Rattus norvegicus: one gene and its partners. The protein of the gene in region 2 interacts with the protein of the main gene of each other region in a biochemical or structural test. Links are inferred from orthologs where the notes say so. Each region holds a gene or a part of one and is shown on either strand. Other genes may lie near its edges.

Region 1 (5,779 bases), on a different chromosome or scaffold from region 2:
CCCAGCCTAGCCACATCTGCATCTGTAGGTCCTCTGTGAGGCATTGTCTACAGGGTGAGAGGATGGAGTTTCTATTAGACTGTCAGTCTGGGCAGGTCCTTGAGGAGCTATAGTCCACTTCCTAGGCAGTTGGCTCAGACTGGGCTTTGAGGGCTTGCTTCGTAACCTTAGAGGATTTGTTGGCATGGGCATTGCTCGCCACAGTGGTGATTCTTAAAAAATATGGTGTTCAAGCCAGGGAATGGGAAAAGTAGAAGCTTGCCAACACCTTTAAAGTAGCAGTAAGTCCATTACCTGCTACAAGAAGTAACACTTTGATGTGAGAAAAGCTACTTTGCGAGTCCAAGCTGAAGCACAGTTAGATTGTTGCTGTTTGTCCACCTCTGTTGCCTGGTGATAGGAATAGCTAGGGACAGGGTCCATAGAGCTCAAGGAGGGAGTATGCAAATGCACACCTGTGCCCTTGCAGATCCCATCTTGAAGGCTGGGTCCATCTAATCTCAGCACCTTTACTTTTACGTTTATGAAGGCATAGATGGATCTAGCTATGGGTCAGGCACATTGACCCTGGGAAGGGTTCTGTATAGCAACACCTCTATCCCACAGCTGGAGATCTTGGGCTTAGTGTTGTCTAGAAGGTAACTCCATTGTCTCTGGGTGGTCGGTGAGACCTGTGTCAGCCCAGGTACCCAGGTCCAAGCCTGGGAACACATAGAGCCTTGCTGTACATGGGTGTGACAGTCCCTAGAGCATTGTCTTTATGTGACATGGATTCTTTGAGGCACTTCTTGGCACTGGAAGTTTGGGGTAGCCTCTGTAACTGAAGGCGAGAAAGGTGAGTGTGGACTGCACAGGCTGCTGCTAGTCAGCAACTACTGCGGGCTCCCTCTGGCCTGCTCAGCACAAGACTGTGGTGACTTGTTTCTTGTCCTCCACTTCTCACTGTGCCTTGGTCAGCTTTTGGAAGGGCTGGACAAAGTCCTGCCTTGTGCTGTGCTACCTGCTACCATGGACCTACCTTTAGCCTCCTTAAGGTGTCTGCTGCCCAGCTGGAGGTGGCCAGACAGTACCTGGGAAATCCTTGCTCCTGTATTTGGCCCCAGGTGGGGTCTAGTTTAGTGTGTCATGTTGGGAACAAACTGATTTTGTATCCACAAAGGCTTTGATGGAGCTAGGAATCAGACCCAGGGCCTCACACCCACTAGACAGATGCTCCTGAGTTGCACTCCAGGCCTAAGGTTCTTTCTCACCTTGATCTGGGAGGAGGGATCTGAGAGTGTCATTACCCCTGCTTGCCCCCCTTTTTTTCTTCACTGTCTTCACTGTTTTTAGCCTTTGAAATCTACACTAGGAATGATATTAATTAAGGTCATATGCAAAACATCACTCTGTGGTCACTTTGTGGGGTTCTGGGCAGTCACATGGTGGTTTTAGGCATCAAAGAGCAACCAGGCACTTTCCTGAATCGAATCATTTTGTGATCTGCACATTCCTGTGTTGACAAGACAGCCTATGGCTGTAGGGAGTCAGGGTGGAGGTGCCTCCTACCTCCCCTGACCTCCTGTCTACCACAGCCTCCCTAGGGTCTACAAGGATTTTAGGTCCTATGCCCTTGAGGGATTGATGGACTGAGTCTACTCAGTCATCAGTAAGCTATAGAAAACTATTTTCTCCTTCTCAGTTTTAATTTGCTTTTTACAAAGCCCCCATGTAACCCCATGTAACTCAGGTGCTGAGTACAGCAAGTCCTCAGGGCTGATCTTTCCAACTCGAGTGGGTAGTACTGCCCTCAGGTCACAGACTGGAGCTGCCAAGGGCATTAAGTAGTCTGCTCCTCTCTTGCAGGCGTCCGACCTCCCATCATGAACGGGCCCATGCACCCCCGGCCCCTGGTGGCGCTGCTGGATGGCCGGGACTGCACAGTGGAGATGCCTATCCTGAAGGATGTGGCCACAGTAGCCTTCTGTGATGCGCAGTCCACACAGGAGATCCATGAGAAGGTAGTGTCATATGCACCTAGTAATAGTTGGCTAATCTTTATGGGGGTGTAGGGGACTCCAGAGCCTGAGCCAGGCAACCTCAGGCTGCAGTCTGAGTCAGCACACAGCCTGTTCCTTGGCCTCTGGCCACAGTGGGTCTGAATACCACCTGGTCTTGTGTGGCCTGTCCCTGTGCCTGGCCTGGTCAGGAGGTGTAGAGATGGCTTACTCTGTAGCTTCTTGACATATATCATAGCCAGTTCATTGGAAGCGGAACTGTGGGCACCTGGCAGTGATTGTGCTTGATGCTACCTGGCATACAGAAAAAAGGACCGATATCCTCACCCAGTGCCTGCCTAGAGCTTGTGGTCGGGTGGTTAGCAGCTCTGAGCAGCTTCTGTGATTCATGTTTGCTCAGATATGCTGTGTTTCTTTGTTACCTGGAATGTATTCATTTAGTTTCTGCTTGTATCAAAGTTAATTCATACTTTGTATTGAAGACAGCTTGAAAATGTTCTTAAAACAGTCTAAAGAGCTTCAGGAGCTGACAGGGATTGAAACCACAAGGGACCTGGCACCTGCTGATATGGATGGTCTGCATGGTTAGCCTGAGACTTGCTTCACTGGGAAGACCGGTGAGCTCTGTTCTTGCCAGCACTATGGCCTCAAAGGCTGGGTGCAGATGTTGCCTCAAACCCAGAGGGCAGTGAAACCCATATCTGAACTTATTTTCACATAGCCTACTACTCAGCCTTCTAAGTCTGCCAGGTATGGGATTTAGCATGTAGTGAACCTACAGCCTTGCTTCCCAGTGGCTGCAGAGTATCTGGGACAGTCATTTCAGTCTGAGCCCAGTGCATGTCTGTAGTCCTTGGGTACTTGTCACTTCTGTATAGACAATCAGTTATAAGAAGGTAAGACTCTGTGAGTAGAATAGAGCTTCTGATCTACGGGAGACCCAGTCTGACTACGGGATGGACTGCCTTCCGCCAAGAGAAAAACTGAGATTGTCATGTTGAAGGTCATGAGGTAGATGTGAAGGAACAAAGTTGAAAACACAGGGCTTCAAGACACTAAAGCTAAAAGTAAAAATTATCACTTAGGGCATAGAAGCAAGCAAGCAAGCAGAGGTCAGAAGTCTTGATTCTTAGGCCTTGGGGGAAGAGTGGCAAATAGGAGGGGAGTAGGAGCAAGGAGCAGGTAAGTTAATGAGACACAGGGCTCAGGGGGAGCTGCTGTACAGACTGAGAATACAGTGGTAGATGGATTCCCCACACAACAGGAAACTGTGAATTAAGGACCTTGAGCCTGTAGCATGGCGTGGGCAGTAGTCAGTGTACTCTATACTGTTACACACCCTTATAGCATGCCAGCAACCATACTGGGGGCCACTGTCCTAGCAGACATGACCTGCATTCAAGTCATACCTTACCTGATTCACAGTAGCCAAACTGGACACCACTCAGTGTCCTGTGGTGACATGCTGGGCAGTGTATCCTGCCACAGATTCTGGCCCAGGCAAGGTATGACCACAGGCACATAGCACCTGGCGTACATGTCACTGAGGGAAATCACCTTTCCTCTTTCTGCTGGCTGGAAATTGGGTGTGATGGCTGAAGCTTGGGCAGAAACCTTGTACTCTAAGAGGTAAGGGATATACAGAGAATGGCACAGCCACAAGACAGGAGAATGGTACCCAAATAACTGAAAATGCAATAGGGCATGTGGAATCACACCTGTCTCTAGGTGTGGAAAGGAGAGAATTGTCTTATATATCTTTGCTGTATGATAATTTCCACCTTTTTAGAGCAAAAAGTCCTCACAACTGGCTGGGTGTGGCTGTCTGCAATGCACATGAGCACCTTAAGTGTCAGTGAAGCACATGACGAAGAAAACTTTACAGAGACCTTGGCTCTTCTGACGTGGATCCAGGAGGAGTATTAAAGGGACTGTGGATGTGAGAAAGTCACCTTGTGGCAGAAATCTCAGAGCATCCCTGGGCTGTACAACTTGTCAGCCAAATGATCTTTAGCCCAGGGCTGTATGGAGCCCAGGAGGAACCCAGGGACACGGCTCTCAGCATGTGCTAAGTGAGGACTTAGGGGAGTAGATGTCTCCGAAGGGATCCTGTGGAGATGGGAGAATGACGCTCTATGACCCATGGGTAGAGAACACCCCAGGCTAGAGGAAGTCTCTTACACCTAAGATGCTCAAAAAAAAAAAAGTGGGCAGAAGTGTTTAATATGACCAGCAGGCTGCAATATGACCTTGGGCTCAAGCTGTAGACACATCTGGAATCAGGACAGACGTTGAGAGGAGAGGGTTTCACTGTGTGCAGGAGTCCATTGCCACAGGTCACCAGGGCCCGAGACTCTGAGACCCATTGCTTATGCTTTGATGGAACAAAGCAGGGAACCAAGGGACGTGTGTGGCCCTCAGGTATTTGGGCAAAGTGCTGTTGAACTAAGATCCAGGCCTGGGATGGTTTCTGGTTGGATGGCAGCAGTTGGAAGAGCAGGAGACTTAATGCAACTTCAGAAGGAATCTGTAGGTATTCCAAATACTCAGAGGGAAAGTCAGCAGCAGTAAGATTCAGCGAGGTCAAGCGAGCCCTTTGTGCCCTGGCCCAAGGGCACCACATGTGAGGTCTTCATGCTCTCCCAGTCGGAAAAGGAGTCCTTGCAGAGAGCTGGCCAGAGAAGTACTGCTTATGTTAACCACTGAGCAAGTCCCTTTCTGGCCCCATGAAAACTCAAAATTCACACGGTAGGAGACCTGGATGCCACTTCCTTCTGTGGAGCAGGACAGCTGCAAGGACCCCAGGTGTCTGTGAAGTTGGATAGTCTGCAGCTTGACTGTGTCAGCAGGAAAATATCTGGCGTGATGGTGAGGTGGGAAGAGCTGCAGTTTCATATGATAGCTGTTGCTGTTCATACCAGGTGATAAAACCATGCCGGTTGGTTTGGAGTTTCAGTGTTCTCTCAGCAGGAGGTTGCCCTGACCATGAAACCTCGTGGTTTGGGGCATATGCTTCGTTCAGAACTTGTTGCCACTGGGTGCACTCAGGACCCATTTCCAGCCAAAGATAGCTGACCTACATTAGTCATTCATCGTATGTTCTGCCTGCTTTGAACATCTGGGACCCAGATTCTTCCATTCTGGTGTTGAGGACCAAGTCCACTAGGGTCCGATCTCTAACCTGGTTACACAGCTGATGGATGAGGAGATTGAGCTGCTTGCAAAGGATAGTTTCTTGGAGGCCTATCCTAAGTGGACAGACCCAGAAGCACCCATAGAAGAGGTACAGGCTGGGTGTTGGTGGTGACCTGGGCTGTAGACCTCTGCCCACTGTCTAGCAAGCTCACCCCTAGTATGCTTTTGTCCTGCATCTGGGCACAGGTGACTTCATACTAAGTACAAAAAAAAGACACCATGAAAAAAAAATTCAGAGAGAAACATAGGCAGATTTCACCCAGGAAGGCAAATTCATGCACCAGTAGTAGATGAACAAACAGTAGGGTGTATTTTAGTTGCAGAAAACCCAGGGTTGATATCAGCATGTCAGTTGGCAGTTGGACAACAGTGCCTAGAGCCTCAAAGGACCTTCCATTTCTAAGAAATTAATACAAGGAAATGAATTCACTAGCTTTTATCAAGGAAGAGTATCACTGGTAGCACTCAGTGCAGTAGGAAGTTCAGATTCTTTGATTCCCCCTTCCCTGTTGGTACGTTCTGCAGTGCGTTGAAATATACTTTTGAAAGCCGGTAGTCTCATGGTTAAGTGCTGAGGGTAAAAAGCA
Region 2 (6,521 bases):
CTTTTCCAGTTTATTGGTATTTCATTTGGACCTGACAGATAGGAATGTCAGGAGTTCAAGGCCAACCTCAGCTACATAAAGCCAGTCTAGGTTGCATGTGTCCTGTTTTAGCAACAAACAAAAATAAGAGATCATGGGAGATTATGGGTCAATAAATGAAGATAAAGGGATGGATTTAGGAGATGAGTTATAGGCATGACTGACAGGATTTGGTGATAGGTTTGATAGGATATTTAAGGGAGAAGCTGTCAAGGATTCTGATTTATATAAGTAGATTACATACAGAGATGTGCTTTATTTTCATTTTGCTTAAGGCAGGGTCTGGCTATTTTGTCTAGGCTTATAGCAATTGTCCTAACTCAGGTTCCTGGACACCCAAGGTCTGGGATCGTAGGTGTGTACCACAATAACCATAGCTTCAGAAATAGCTTTTTAAAAAGATTTATTTTGTATTTATGTGTATGTGTCCTGTGTGAATTTATGTACATGCAGGTACACTCAGAATTCTGAATCCTGGAACTAAGAGTAGCCAGTTGTGAATTGCCTAACATGGGTGCTGAGAACTGAACCCAGGTCCTCCCTAAGAGCATTAAATATTCTCTTAACAACTAAGCCATCATCTCTCCAGGCTCTCAAATACCTCAAATAGCTTTTCTTTAGAAAACCAGTCTTCTTTAGTATTTGATTAAATGACAAACTGATCTTAGGTTCCACCCATCTCTACCCAAACTTGCTATTTCTACTAGAAACTATACAAGTCCTGTTTGCTAGAGGAAAAATATAACCTAATTTTCATTGTCTTATAAAATAGAAAAGGAGCTGGAGAGAGATGGTTCAGTAATTAAGAACACTGCCTGCTTCGCGACCATCTATCACTCCAAGTCTAGAGGACCCAATGCCTTCTTCTGGCCTTTGAACCTTAAAATAATCCACAGAGAATTCTGATTTTTTTTTTAAATTACATAAGGGCCAAGAATGTAGCTCAGTTGATAGAGTGTTTACCTAGCTAGCATGCATAAAGTCTTGGGTTAGATGCCCAGCACTGTCAAAAAATAAACTGGCCTGGTGTGGTGGCTGCCACTCATCTATGATTATTATGGTACAATACCAGCACTCAGAAGATGGAAACAGGAGAGTCAGGAGTTCAAGACCATGCACAGTGAATTTGAAGCCCACCTGGGTTACTCAATAGCCTGTTAACAAATAATTCTAGACACTTCAATTTTTTTTCTCTGCACTTGCCAGAAACTCATCATTTAACTTTAGCAGCATCCTTCTGAGTTGTGGCATTCCCACCCAGGCCTCTCAGGTACCCATTCCTACACTATAGGCAATGGCTATAAAGCTGAAAACTAAGGATGAGCCTATCCATCCCCACATCCTTCCATCTCATCCCTAAGTTGGTACAGCTCAGGCCCGCCACGAAACGTGCGGGAGTCACAGAACACTCCAGGCTAACTTCGCCCAACCCAGGGGCTCGTGGTCAAGTTCCCAACAGATGGCTTATTTTCCAGACAATTCCACAAACGCTGCCAGAGTCGGGAAGCTCCTCTCGGAAGCATTTCCCACCCACCAACCAGCTCAGCCGCCGCCCCGCGGCTTGGGGGGGAAGGGGCGTGACGCCGCGGGAACTCCCGCGTGACGTCACGGGATGCCGGAGGCCTCCGGGGCCGGGCGGGGCCGGCCGCCCTCCGGCCAGCCTTCGGGAGGTTCTGGCCGTCCTCTCCGTGGGTTCGGCCGCCTGGAGAGGTAGGGCACTCGGCGAGAAGTGGGCAGTAACGAACGGCGGGGCCTTCCCGGCCCGGAGGACGGATCCCGAAGACTCTGAAGGGAGGCTCGGAAGCTGTGAGTAAAAGGACTCTCCTTCCTACCCTGCGTGCAGGGTCCAAGCAGCTACTTCCGGTTGGACGCCGCGCTTTCGCAGTGGCTCAGGCGGCCGAGACGCGTGAAGCACCGGCCGACGTAGTCTGGGCTCGGGCCGGTCCGAAGGACGCGGGCCGGGCTCACGTTCCAAGCAGTCTACCGGGCTCCCGCGCACTTCGAGACGCGCCCCTCAGCGCTGAGCCCGCCCCGCGCATGCGCCAAGTGCGCAGCGCGCTCTTTTCGCGTAGCGTTTGAAGTGTCTTCCGTCTGACCCGGGAAGCGCTGGGAACTCGAGGGGCATCTGAGGCTGATGGAGACCCGGTGGGAGTGAGGGCCGCGGCGAGTGTGCATTTTGCTTGTGAGAGGGACGCTGAATGTCCTGTGCGTTTCCCTTGTGTGGTGTGACAGTCTAGTTTTACCGAGCGTCTTCGCGTGGAGGTTGTCGATGCTGTGGATACACGGAAAAGGATCGTCACTAGCCTTTGTGTCCACAGAGACCCGGGAGACAAGATGAGTGTTGTGAGAGAGAAGGGCTCAGTGCGCAGCGAATAACGGTTCAGAGCAAAAAGATTGGCTGCAAAGTGCTGAGCGAGCGTACTAGATGGAAAGGATGCTGTGAGCCGAAATTTGCAAACATGGTATTGATAGTTTTTACTGTAGCCGTTTTCAAAAGCACTTGAACAGTCGTGGTGGCTCCGGTAGACGAAAGCGGATTTTTCAGAGTTCCAGCCCAGCTTGGTCTACATAGAGAGTTCCAGGTCAGCCAGGGCTAAGTAGTGAGATCTGTTTCAAAACAACAAAAGCTCTGGATTATTTTAACTACTTTGTCATTGATGCATTTTTCTAAAGGATACTTCGAATGCACTGCTAGTTTTAACTCAGCTTTAAGTTTTCCATTAAAGTAATTAAACCTTTAAACTTTTCTTCCTTTTTTTTTTTTTTAAATTTTGGGGGTGGGGGGATAGGGGTCAGTAGGGTGATGGGTTTTGTTTCTGAAGACAAGATTGCTCTGTGTAGCCCTAGCTGGCCCTGAACTCGCTTCGTAGACCAGGCTGAGCTCGAACTCAGAGAGTGCGCTACCACTGCCTGGCATACTTTTTTTTTCTTGCTACTCGGAAGTATAGTTTAGGGTTCAAATCCTAGCCCCGAAGTAGCCACGCCCTAGCTGTATTACCTTGAGCAGGTCATTTAATCTGTTATAATGGCATGCCCAACTCTACACTGAAATTAGTAATTGTACCTCTTTCTAGAGTTCTGATATGGCTAATAAAAGTCTATTCCATATGCTGTTGTACATAAAGGCAGTCTCTTGTTGGCCGTAGTGTATCTTTTACACACAGGCTTGTGAAGCAAAACTGTATTAGTTCTCATCTTACTTTTAGGGAGAGACAGCAGTATTGATCCCCTCATATACCCATTCATCACTCAGCTTCAATAATTGTCTAAGTGAGCTGTTCTTGTTTCGTCTTTCCACCCACATCAGTTTTCAAACCAATCCCAGAGAACGGTAGTTTATCTCACAATATTCCTGTAATAGACAAAGCCTTTTTAATGGAAAAAGAAAAATGGGGTTGGAGATATATCCTAGCATGCCTGGATTCTTTTCAGGGTGCATAAGAAATTTTTTTTTAAGTTTAAATAGTCTCATCACTATTGCATCCAAGAGGACTAACAATAACTTGGCGTACCCAAGAAAGTTAATAAGATTATTTTAAAGCTACTTATGCTCGATTTTTGCTGATTCTTTTAGGAGCACCTAACTGCAATTTTTGTAACACTTAGTAAATGTATGTATCATTTCTGTAGTGCTTTACCAAGATCCAAGTAGTTGCATACATTCTTTTCCTTAAAAAGTTAACTTTTAGGCTAGTATACAAAGTAATGGGTTTCAGTTTAGACTTATTTTTATTTTGTGTGTATGAGTGATTTGCCTGCATGTATGTCTTTGCCTGCATATATCTATATCTATATCTATATCTATATATCATGTATACCTTAGTGCCTATAGAGGTTAGAGAAGAGTGTGTCAGGTCAGTTTCTAGAACTAGAGTTATAGAAGATTGTGGATTCTAAAACTTGAAGTTCAGTCCTTTGAAAAAGCAGCCAATGCTCTTAAACACTAAGCCATTTCTCCAGCCCCAGAAGTTGTTTTGTGTTTTTACAGAGTCTGTGCATCCCAGACTGGCCTCAGACTCTCTGTGTAGCTGGAGAATAGAGCTCCTGATCCTCCTGCCTCTACCTAAGGACTAGGGTTATAGGCATTCACCACTGTGCTCAGTTTGTGGGTGCTGGGGATGGAACCCAGAGCCTTATGAGTGCTAGGTACATGCTTTACCAACTGAGCCAAATCTCCAGGCTCTTTATAAACCCTGCCCTTCTCTCTTCCCTCCTTTCTCTTCTGCTTTCTCCCATCATTTTTCTGTGTAGCCTAGGTTGGCCTTTAGCTTGCAGCAGTCTCTCTCAGCCTCCGTAGTGCTGAGATTCAGGCATGCGTCACCATGCCCAACATTTTACTTTTGTAATGGCTAATTAATGGTTTCAGTTAAGAACACATTTTAAAATGTGTATTAAATCACTTGAGTTTCTTAATAGACTGTTGCTTCTTTTTAGGGGCCACATAATTTTTAAAGTTAATCATTAACTGTTACTATGAAAGAATCACAACATACCTCTACCCTAATAGCTTTGGACCTCTGAATAGACATATGTTCTTAGAGCTTTGCTGCATGTGTATCTTGGTGACTTGTTCTCAGAAATATACATGTGTTGATATGTCAACCATCTACCTGGTTTTAAAGCATGTATATGGGAATGATTGTAAAGTCAGTAATATTTTAGAATGTTTCTAGTTCTGGTTCAGTACAGTGTTGGATTTCACATCACTCCAAAACTTAAGGCAGTAATTTTTAAGTGCTAGGGATTGCACCCAAGGCCTTGGACTTGCTCAGCAAGCACTCCTTTCATGAGCTACATTCTCATGTACATCAGTACATGTATTTATTTACCATGTAAGTGAATATATGTGCCCTTCCCACTGGATCACACGTGGAAGTCAGAAGCCACCTTGTTAGAATCAGTTCGTACCCTTCTTCCCCTTCCAAGGATCAAACTCTAGTTGTCAGGCTTAGTGGGCACTTTTACTTGCAGGTCCTTCCATTCCTTTTTTTTTTCCCCCTTTCTTTTTAAAGATAGGGTCTCCTTATATAGCTCAGGCTGACCTTGAACTTGAGATCTCCCACCTCTGGACTGCTGTGATTATACATGTGCCAGCATAGGCTGCCCAGTAAATCTTACGAGAGTAAATGAATTCTGATTGTGGATGACTGTAAACCTTTCAATATTATTAGAGCCCTTTTCACTTTAACATAATTTTGGTAATTTCTCCTTCTTCGGTGGGAAAATTGAGAACCTTCCTGAAAATTTACCTATATGAAGGTCAAATAACTGAAATCATAGTTTTCTCACTGTACACGGTCTCTCTGTGTAGCTCTCACTGGCTGTGAATTCACAGAGACCCACCTGCATCCACCTCCCAGTTCTGAGTAGAGGAGTGTACTGTGCCCTGCTCTGATTGTCATCTTTGCCAGCTTCTGTCAAACTCTCTGAATGATTGTAAACATATAGGAAAACCTGAGAATAGCTGCACTTGTGCTTTCATCCTCATCTCAGGCTTACATAAAGGTGCGTGCAAAAAAATGACATATTGCAATCCATCATTTCAGGTATTTCAACAATCCAAAGACAACGTCACACCTATGTAAGGACACAAAGGTCAGGCGAGCATCAACAAAAAGAAGTGTGGAGCCGGGTAAGCAAGATGAGCATTTCAGGAAGCAGCTGTGGAAGCCCTAATTCCACAGATATATCCAGTGACTTCAAGGAGCTCTGGACAAAACTAAAAGAATATCATGATAAGGAAGTACAAGGTACAGTCTTTGTTTAAATGCTTGAGACTATAATAGTAAAAACTAGGTTTGATTATTTTATATATTTTTACTTAGAAATATTGAGGGGCAAATGTCCCAACTTTAAAGGGCATTTACTGTTATAATGCTTTATGATTTGTTTTATTGATGAATTGTTACATTGTAACTACAAATACTACAGAATATATAGAGGGGGAGTATTGTTTTTTAAATTGGTATATGTGGGAGAGCCTGCATGAGTATTTATGTACAATGTGTGTTCAGGAGGCCATGGAGACCAAAAGAGGATTTCAGATTCCATGGAACCAGAGTTATTGGCAGTGAGCTGAACTTTGGTTCTCTGCAAGAGTATAAATGCTTTTAACTGCTGAATCATCTCTCCTGCCTCTAGAACATAATTCTCATATAACTTGTCAGTAGTTACTTGTGGAACTATGCTTTGTGGTGCTAAAAACAGAATTTATTGACTGCAGACAGATTTCAATTCTAACTTCATCTTCCTGCTGGCTTTGTAATCTTAGCTGTCATATAATCTTTTATCTTTTTCCTATGATTATTTGTAGGATTATTTAGAGCTATAAAAGTGCTATTTAAGGGGTTGAGGATTTAGCTCAGTGGTAGAGAGCTTGCCTAGCAAATGCAAGGCCCTGGGTTCGGTCCTCAGCTCCAGGGGGGGAAAAGTGCTATTTAAGCACTGCGACAAACCATTCAGGAGCTGTTTGCTATTAAACA
Region 3 (5,231 bases), on a different chromosome or scaffold from region 2:
GGCTGACCTAATTTATAGTTTCCAAAAACAAAATAAACTTATTTTTAAAATAAAAAACTTTTTACCTACATTCTAAGGGAAACTCAAATATCAAATTTTATTTTCAGAAATCAGAAATAAATGAAAGACCACCTAATGAAAATGGAAGAATCATATGTAAAAGAAGAAGCCATTGTTTTGATTCCTGAAGGGGAAAAGGGGGTTTTCCTTTTTAAAAGCTACTTGTGTACCTGACACTTTCTAAAACTCAAACTCCTCTGGTTTTACAGTTTTGAAAATCAGGCTTTACTCACACAATGGACTGCAGTGTGGAGGGAAAGGGAGAAGAAGAACCCAAAGTCTTCACATTTCCATGATTTCACACTTCCATTTTATAGTCAATGGTGCCAGCAGCAAAAATAAAACAAAACAAACTAACTAGAAAAATGTATACATCAGCAGCCATATAGAAGGCATTGCAATATTGCACCAAAATCACAGATCTGGCAAGCTAAGCCAGTGTAAGCTTTAATCACATACAGACTGCTCATGAGAAAATGGCGTCAATGGTATCAATTTGAATGATCCATTCACAGATCATTCTTAATTTTTTCAGCTCTATTTCCTTCCTTCGAATTTAAAGAGTTGAAATGTGCAGCTAATCCTAAACCACTTATTATAAATGCCTTTAAAACAGCTATTTGAGATTCATTCCAAACTTTCCGGTGACCTATCCTTCATGCTAGTAGCTTCCAGAAACTACAAAAAAAAAAAAAAAAAGGAAAAGAAACAAGAAAAAAGAAAAACAAAAAACAACCCACATTGAGGGTTGATATCTCTCTAGTGCCAACGAATATTTTGTACAAACTGATCAAGCAGATATAATATAAGCAGTAATATAACTCGTCCCTTACCTCTCAGTCAAAACTGAGCTCAAATTGACTGTGTAAGAGTTGCTGGCCCACATTCAACACCTGCAGCAGCCTGGAGGGAAACAATGGGGGTTTCACTTCCTCTTAAGGGGCTTTAACTTAGGAGTGTGTGGTATTACCTAACTTTCCTTTAAAAGTGCTTGTATGATGCAGGGTCAGAGCTTGACACAGACCACTCAGATTCTCACTAAAAAGGGGCAACCAACATTAAACAGACTGCAAAGAAAAACATTTTTAAACAAGAAAAGGCATACATTGACATGAAACATTAATGCTTAGTTTTGAAAACAAAATGCCAAACGTTAGCTTTTGTAAATCCATACATGTTTCAGAACTATGAGTTCAAATTTTACTGAACCAGTACGGACAGAGGATAGACTACTTTGATACCAAATGAGGACTCCAGTTATTTTAACTTTCTAAAAACATTAATACATTAAAGACATTACATCTAAATTTCAACAAGTATGGCGAACTGTCTGTGCAAGAGCACTAGCTTAAAAATATAGAATCCTAACCACGCATAAAAGGAGTGTGCCTTATATATTTCTAGGATGTATATGAGTATGGGTATGCTTTCACTAACGCAATGCACATAAGAGAAGGCAGCTTAGAAATAGTGTTCTGATATAAAAAACTTTTGTAAAAAATTTAAATTTTTGCATTTTCAGCAAAAAGCCATGCAAAAAGGTCAAGAGTTTTAAACTTTTAAATAATAAACCAAAACATATAGCAGACTAAAATAATTTCCAAAGAGTTCAAACAGAGGGACTGAAATCAAATCCAGTGACACTTACTGGGTCTTCTCTTAGAAGATGCACAAATCCTACACTAACATCTGAAAGAAATATTTAAAGCAGAAGGATCAACTTCCCGGGTAAGTGGAGCAGTGTATGTATAAACTGCTTTGGAAGTAGTTTCAAGAGCTAGTGCTTCAAAGGAACTTATTGCATGAGTTTGAGGCCACTGAAAGGAAAGATGCTAGCACAGAATGAAAACTTACAATATTAGACCAATGGCTTTGATAGTAAAACTGGTGAGGTTTTTCTTTATGCTTTTAAACTACTGTATCACAAATGCTTTATTTGCCTTTTTCCTTTTAGGGAGAAAGATGTCATCAGTTGCAACGCCTAACCTCATCCAGTACATAGTCCGGAAAATGGAGGTTGCACACCTGTAAACCATCCAGCTTGCAGGGCATCCGAGGGTACTCATCTTCTTTCCACTTATTTTCATCTGGGTCAAAGGTGAGAATGGAATCACTGTAATGACCATTATAACAAAGGCCCCCAAGGACCATGATTTGTTTGTCCAGCACAGTCACACCGTGACCACTTCTACCAATTGGCATAGATGCCAAGATGGTCCATTGATCAGTATCTGGGTTATACACCTCTGTGGAAGGGCAGCCCTGAGATTCAAAAGAGGCCCTCAAGATCACACAGACACCACCAAAGACATAAAGCTTGCCATTATAAGAGATCATCTTGTGAAAGCATCTAGCATAATTCATCTTGCTTTTATTCTCCCAGCAGTTGGTAACCACTTGAGTTCTCCTGGTCCGCTGTTCTATGGTCCCTTCTTTACTGGGGTCAAATACACACACCTGTTTAGATGTGGAAGATGAAGTGATTCCTCCAGTGATAAACAACTTGTTATTGAGCACTGTCCCCTCATGTCCATATTTGTTAACTGGATAAGGATCTACGAATTCCCATTTATCGTTAGTGATATCGTATCTTTCTGTTGAGTAGAAAGTTTCATCTCTTGTTCTGCCTGCTACAGCATAAATAAACTTCCCAATGACACCAACAGCAAATTCTGAACGTGGTACAGACATGTCTGCCATACGCAGCCAAGAATTTTGTCTTGGATCATACCTGAACACTTTCGAAGAGGCATGGAATTCTCCATCGGGGCCCAGCTCTTCGCCACCTAGCAGGAACACAAAATTATTGACAATGGCAAGGCAGTCTGGTCTTAGAGGTACTTGGGGGCCCTCCAGTTCCCACCAGACTCTTGGTTTCTTTAACAGGAGTATTTTACTATTAACCATGCTATGTCCAATCATTCCTCGGAATACTGTAGTTTGGGGTTTGGCAGAACGAATACGGCTTGATTTCATGTCCAACAAGGGTTGCTGGTGAACATTTTGGAAGTAATTCAATGCTTGGTCAACTTCATACCGCAGCTGTCGGGAGTATCTATAAAATTCTGATGTTTTAACCTAGGAATACAAATAAACAAATTCAACCAAAAGATAAAACATAAACAGAAATTAAACTATTAATGCCTACTAAAATGATCCAGATATTATTGGACAGAATCCTTTGCTAAAATTGTATTTCCTAGCCAAATTATCTACTTTGTTTTCTACAAAGTTTTCTCATTGTAATTGGTCTTATAACTTGCATTTAGAATCACATATATAGCTCTCTGCTCCCAGACCCCGTGAGAGAGAGACCTAACCGCCTGGTCAGGTGGGCACTCCTGAGGCTGCAGAGCGGAAGAGACCACCAACACTGCCCACCCCTGCCCACATCCCTGGCCCAAGAGGAAACTGTATAAGGCCTCTGGGCTCCCATGGGGGAGGGCCCAGGAGCGGCAGAACCCCTGCCTGAGACACCGCTGGAACCTGAAGGAAACAGACCGGATAAACAGTTCTCTGCACCCAAATCCCGTGGGAGGGAGAGCTAAACCTTCAGAGAGGCAGACAAGCCTGGGAAACCAGAAGAGACTGCACTCTGTGCACATCCACACGCCAGAGGAAAACACCAAAGGCCATCTGGAACCCTGATGCACTGAAGCTCCCGGAAAGGGCGGCGCAGATCTTCCTGGTTGCTGCCGCCACAGACAGCCCGAGGGCAGCACCCCGTGAGCGAACTTGAGCCTCAGGACCACAGGTAAGACCAACTTTTCTGCTGTAAGTGACCTGCCTGGTGAACTCAAGACACAGGCCCACAGGAACAGCTGAAGACCTGTAGAGAGGAAAAACTACACACCCGAAAGCAGAACACTCTGTCCCCATAACTGACTGAAAGAGAGGAAAACAGGTCTACAGCACTCCTGACACACAGGCTTATAGGACAGTCTAGACACTGTCAGAAATAGCAGAACAAAGTAACACTAGAGATAATCTGATGGCGAGAGGCAAGCGCAGGAACCCAAGCAACAGAAACCAAGACTACATGGCATCATCAGAGCCCAATTCTCCCACCAAAACAAACATGGAAAAGCACCAGAAAAGCAAGATCAAGTTTCAAAATCATATTTGATCATGATGCTGGAGGACTTCAAGAAAGACGTGAAGAACTCCCTTAGAGAACAAGTAGAAGCCTACAGAGAGGAATCGCAAAAATGCCTGAAAGAATCGCAAAAATCCCTGAAAGAATTCCAGGAAAACATAAATAAACAAGTAGAAGCCCATAGAGAGGAGACACAAAAATCCCTGAAAGAATTCCAGGAAAACACAATCAAACAGTTGAAGGAATTAAAAATGGAAATAGAAGCAATCAAGAAAGAACACATGGAAACAAACCTGGATATAGAAAACCAAAAGAAGAGACAAGGAGCTGTAGATACAAGCTTCACCAACAGAATACAAGAGATGGAAGAATCTCAGGAGCAGAAGATTCCATAGAAATCATTGACTCAACTATCAAAGATAATGTAAAGCGGAAAAAGCTACTGGTCAAAAACATACAGGAAATCCAGGACTCAATGAGAAGATCAAACCTAAGGATAATAGGTATAGAAGAGAGTAAAGACTCCCAGCTCAAAGGACCAATAAATATCTTCAACAAAATCATAGAAGAAAACTTCCCTAACCTAAAAAAAGAGATACCCATAGACATACAAGAACCTACAGAACTCCAAATAGATTGGACCAGAAAAGAAACACCTCCCATCACATAATTGTCAAAACACCAAACGCACAAAATAAAGAAAGAATATTAAAAGCAGTAAGGGAAAAAGGTCAAGTAACATATAAAGGCAGACCTATCAGAATCACACCAGTCTTCTCGCCAGAAACTATGAAGGCCAGAAGATCCTGGACTGATGTCATACAGACCCTAAGAGAACACAAATGCCAGCCCAGGTTACTGTATCCTGCAAAACTCTCAATTAACATAGATGGAGAAACCAAGATATTCCATGACAAAACCAAATTTACACAATATCTTTCTACAAATCCAGCACTACAAAGGATAATAAATGGTAAAGCCCAACATAAGGAGGCAAGCTATACCCTAGAAGAAGCAAGAAACTAATCGTCTTGGCAACAAAACAAAGAGAATGAAAGCACACAAACATAACCTC

The links.
Region 1: the proteins of Rbbp8 (region 2) and Ctbp1 form a complex in vitro, tested with the Homo sapiens proteins (3 studies listed by BioGRID and IntAct). The link is inferred for Rattus norvegicus from reciprocal best matches to the Homo sapiens genes RBBP8 and CTBP1.
Region 3: the proteins of Rbbp8 (region 2) and Klhl15 form a complex in vitro, tested with the Homo sapiens proteins (2 studies listed by BioGRID, with this or other methods). The link is inferred for Rattus norvegicus from reciprocal best matches to the Homo sapiens genes RBBP8 and KLHL15.

The regions. Positions count from the first base shown.
Region 1 is NC_086032.1:81,685,782-81,691,560, forward strand, and holds part of Ctbp1 (C-terminal-binding protein 1), read left to right. Parts: intron 1-1,845; coding exon 1,846-2,000; intron 2,001-5,779. UniProt on the Homo sapiens protein: Corepressor targeting diverse transcription regulators such as GLIS2 or BCL6. Has dehydrogenase activity. Involved in controlling the equilibrium between tubular and stacked structures in the Golgi complex.
Region 2 is NC_086036.1:3,196,151-3,202,671, forward strand, and holds the start of Rbbp8 (DNA endonuclease RBBP8), read left to right. Parts: upstream 1-2,334; 5' UTR 2,335-2,501; intron 2,502-5,585; coding exon of another isoform or gene 5,586-5,680; coding exon 5,681-5,789; intron 5,790-6,521. UniProt on the Homo sapiens protein: Endonuclease that cooperates with the MRE11-RAD50-NBN (MRN) complex in DNA-end resection, the first step of double-strand break (DSB) repair through the homologous recombination (HR) pathway.
Region 3 is NC_086039.1:63,036,577-63,041,807, reverse strand, and holds the end of Klhl15 (kelch-like protein 15), read right to left. Parts: intron 3,139-5,231; coding exon 2,029-3,138; 3' UTR 1,966-2,028; downstream 1-1,965. UniProt on the Homo sapiens protein: Substrate-specific adapter for CUL3 E3 ubiquitin-protein ligase complex.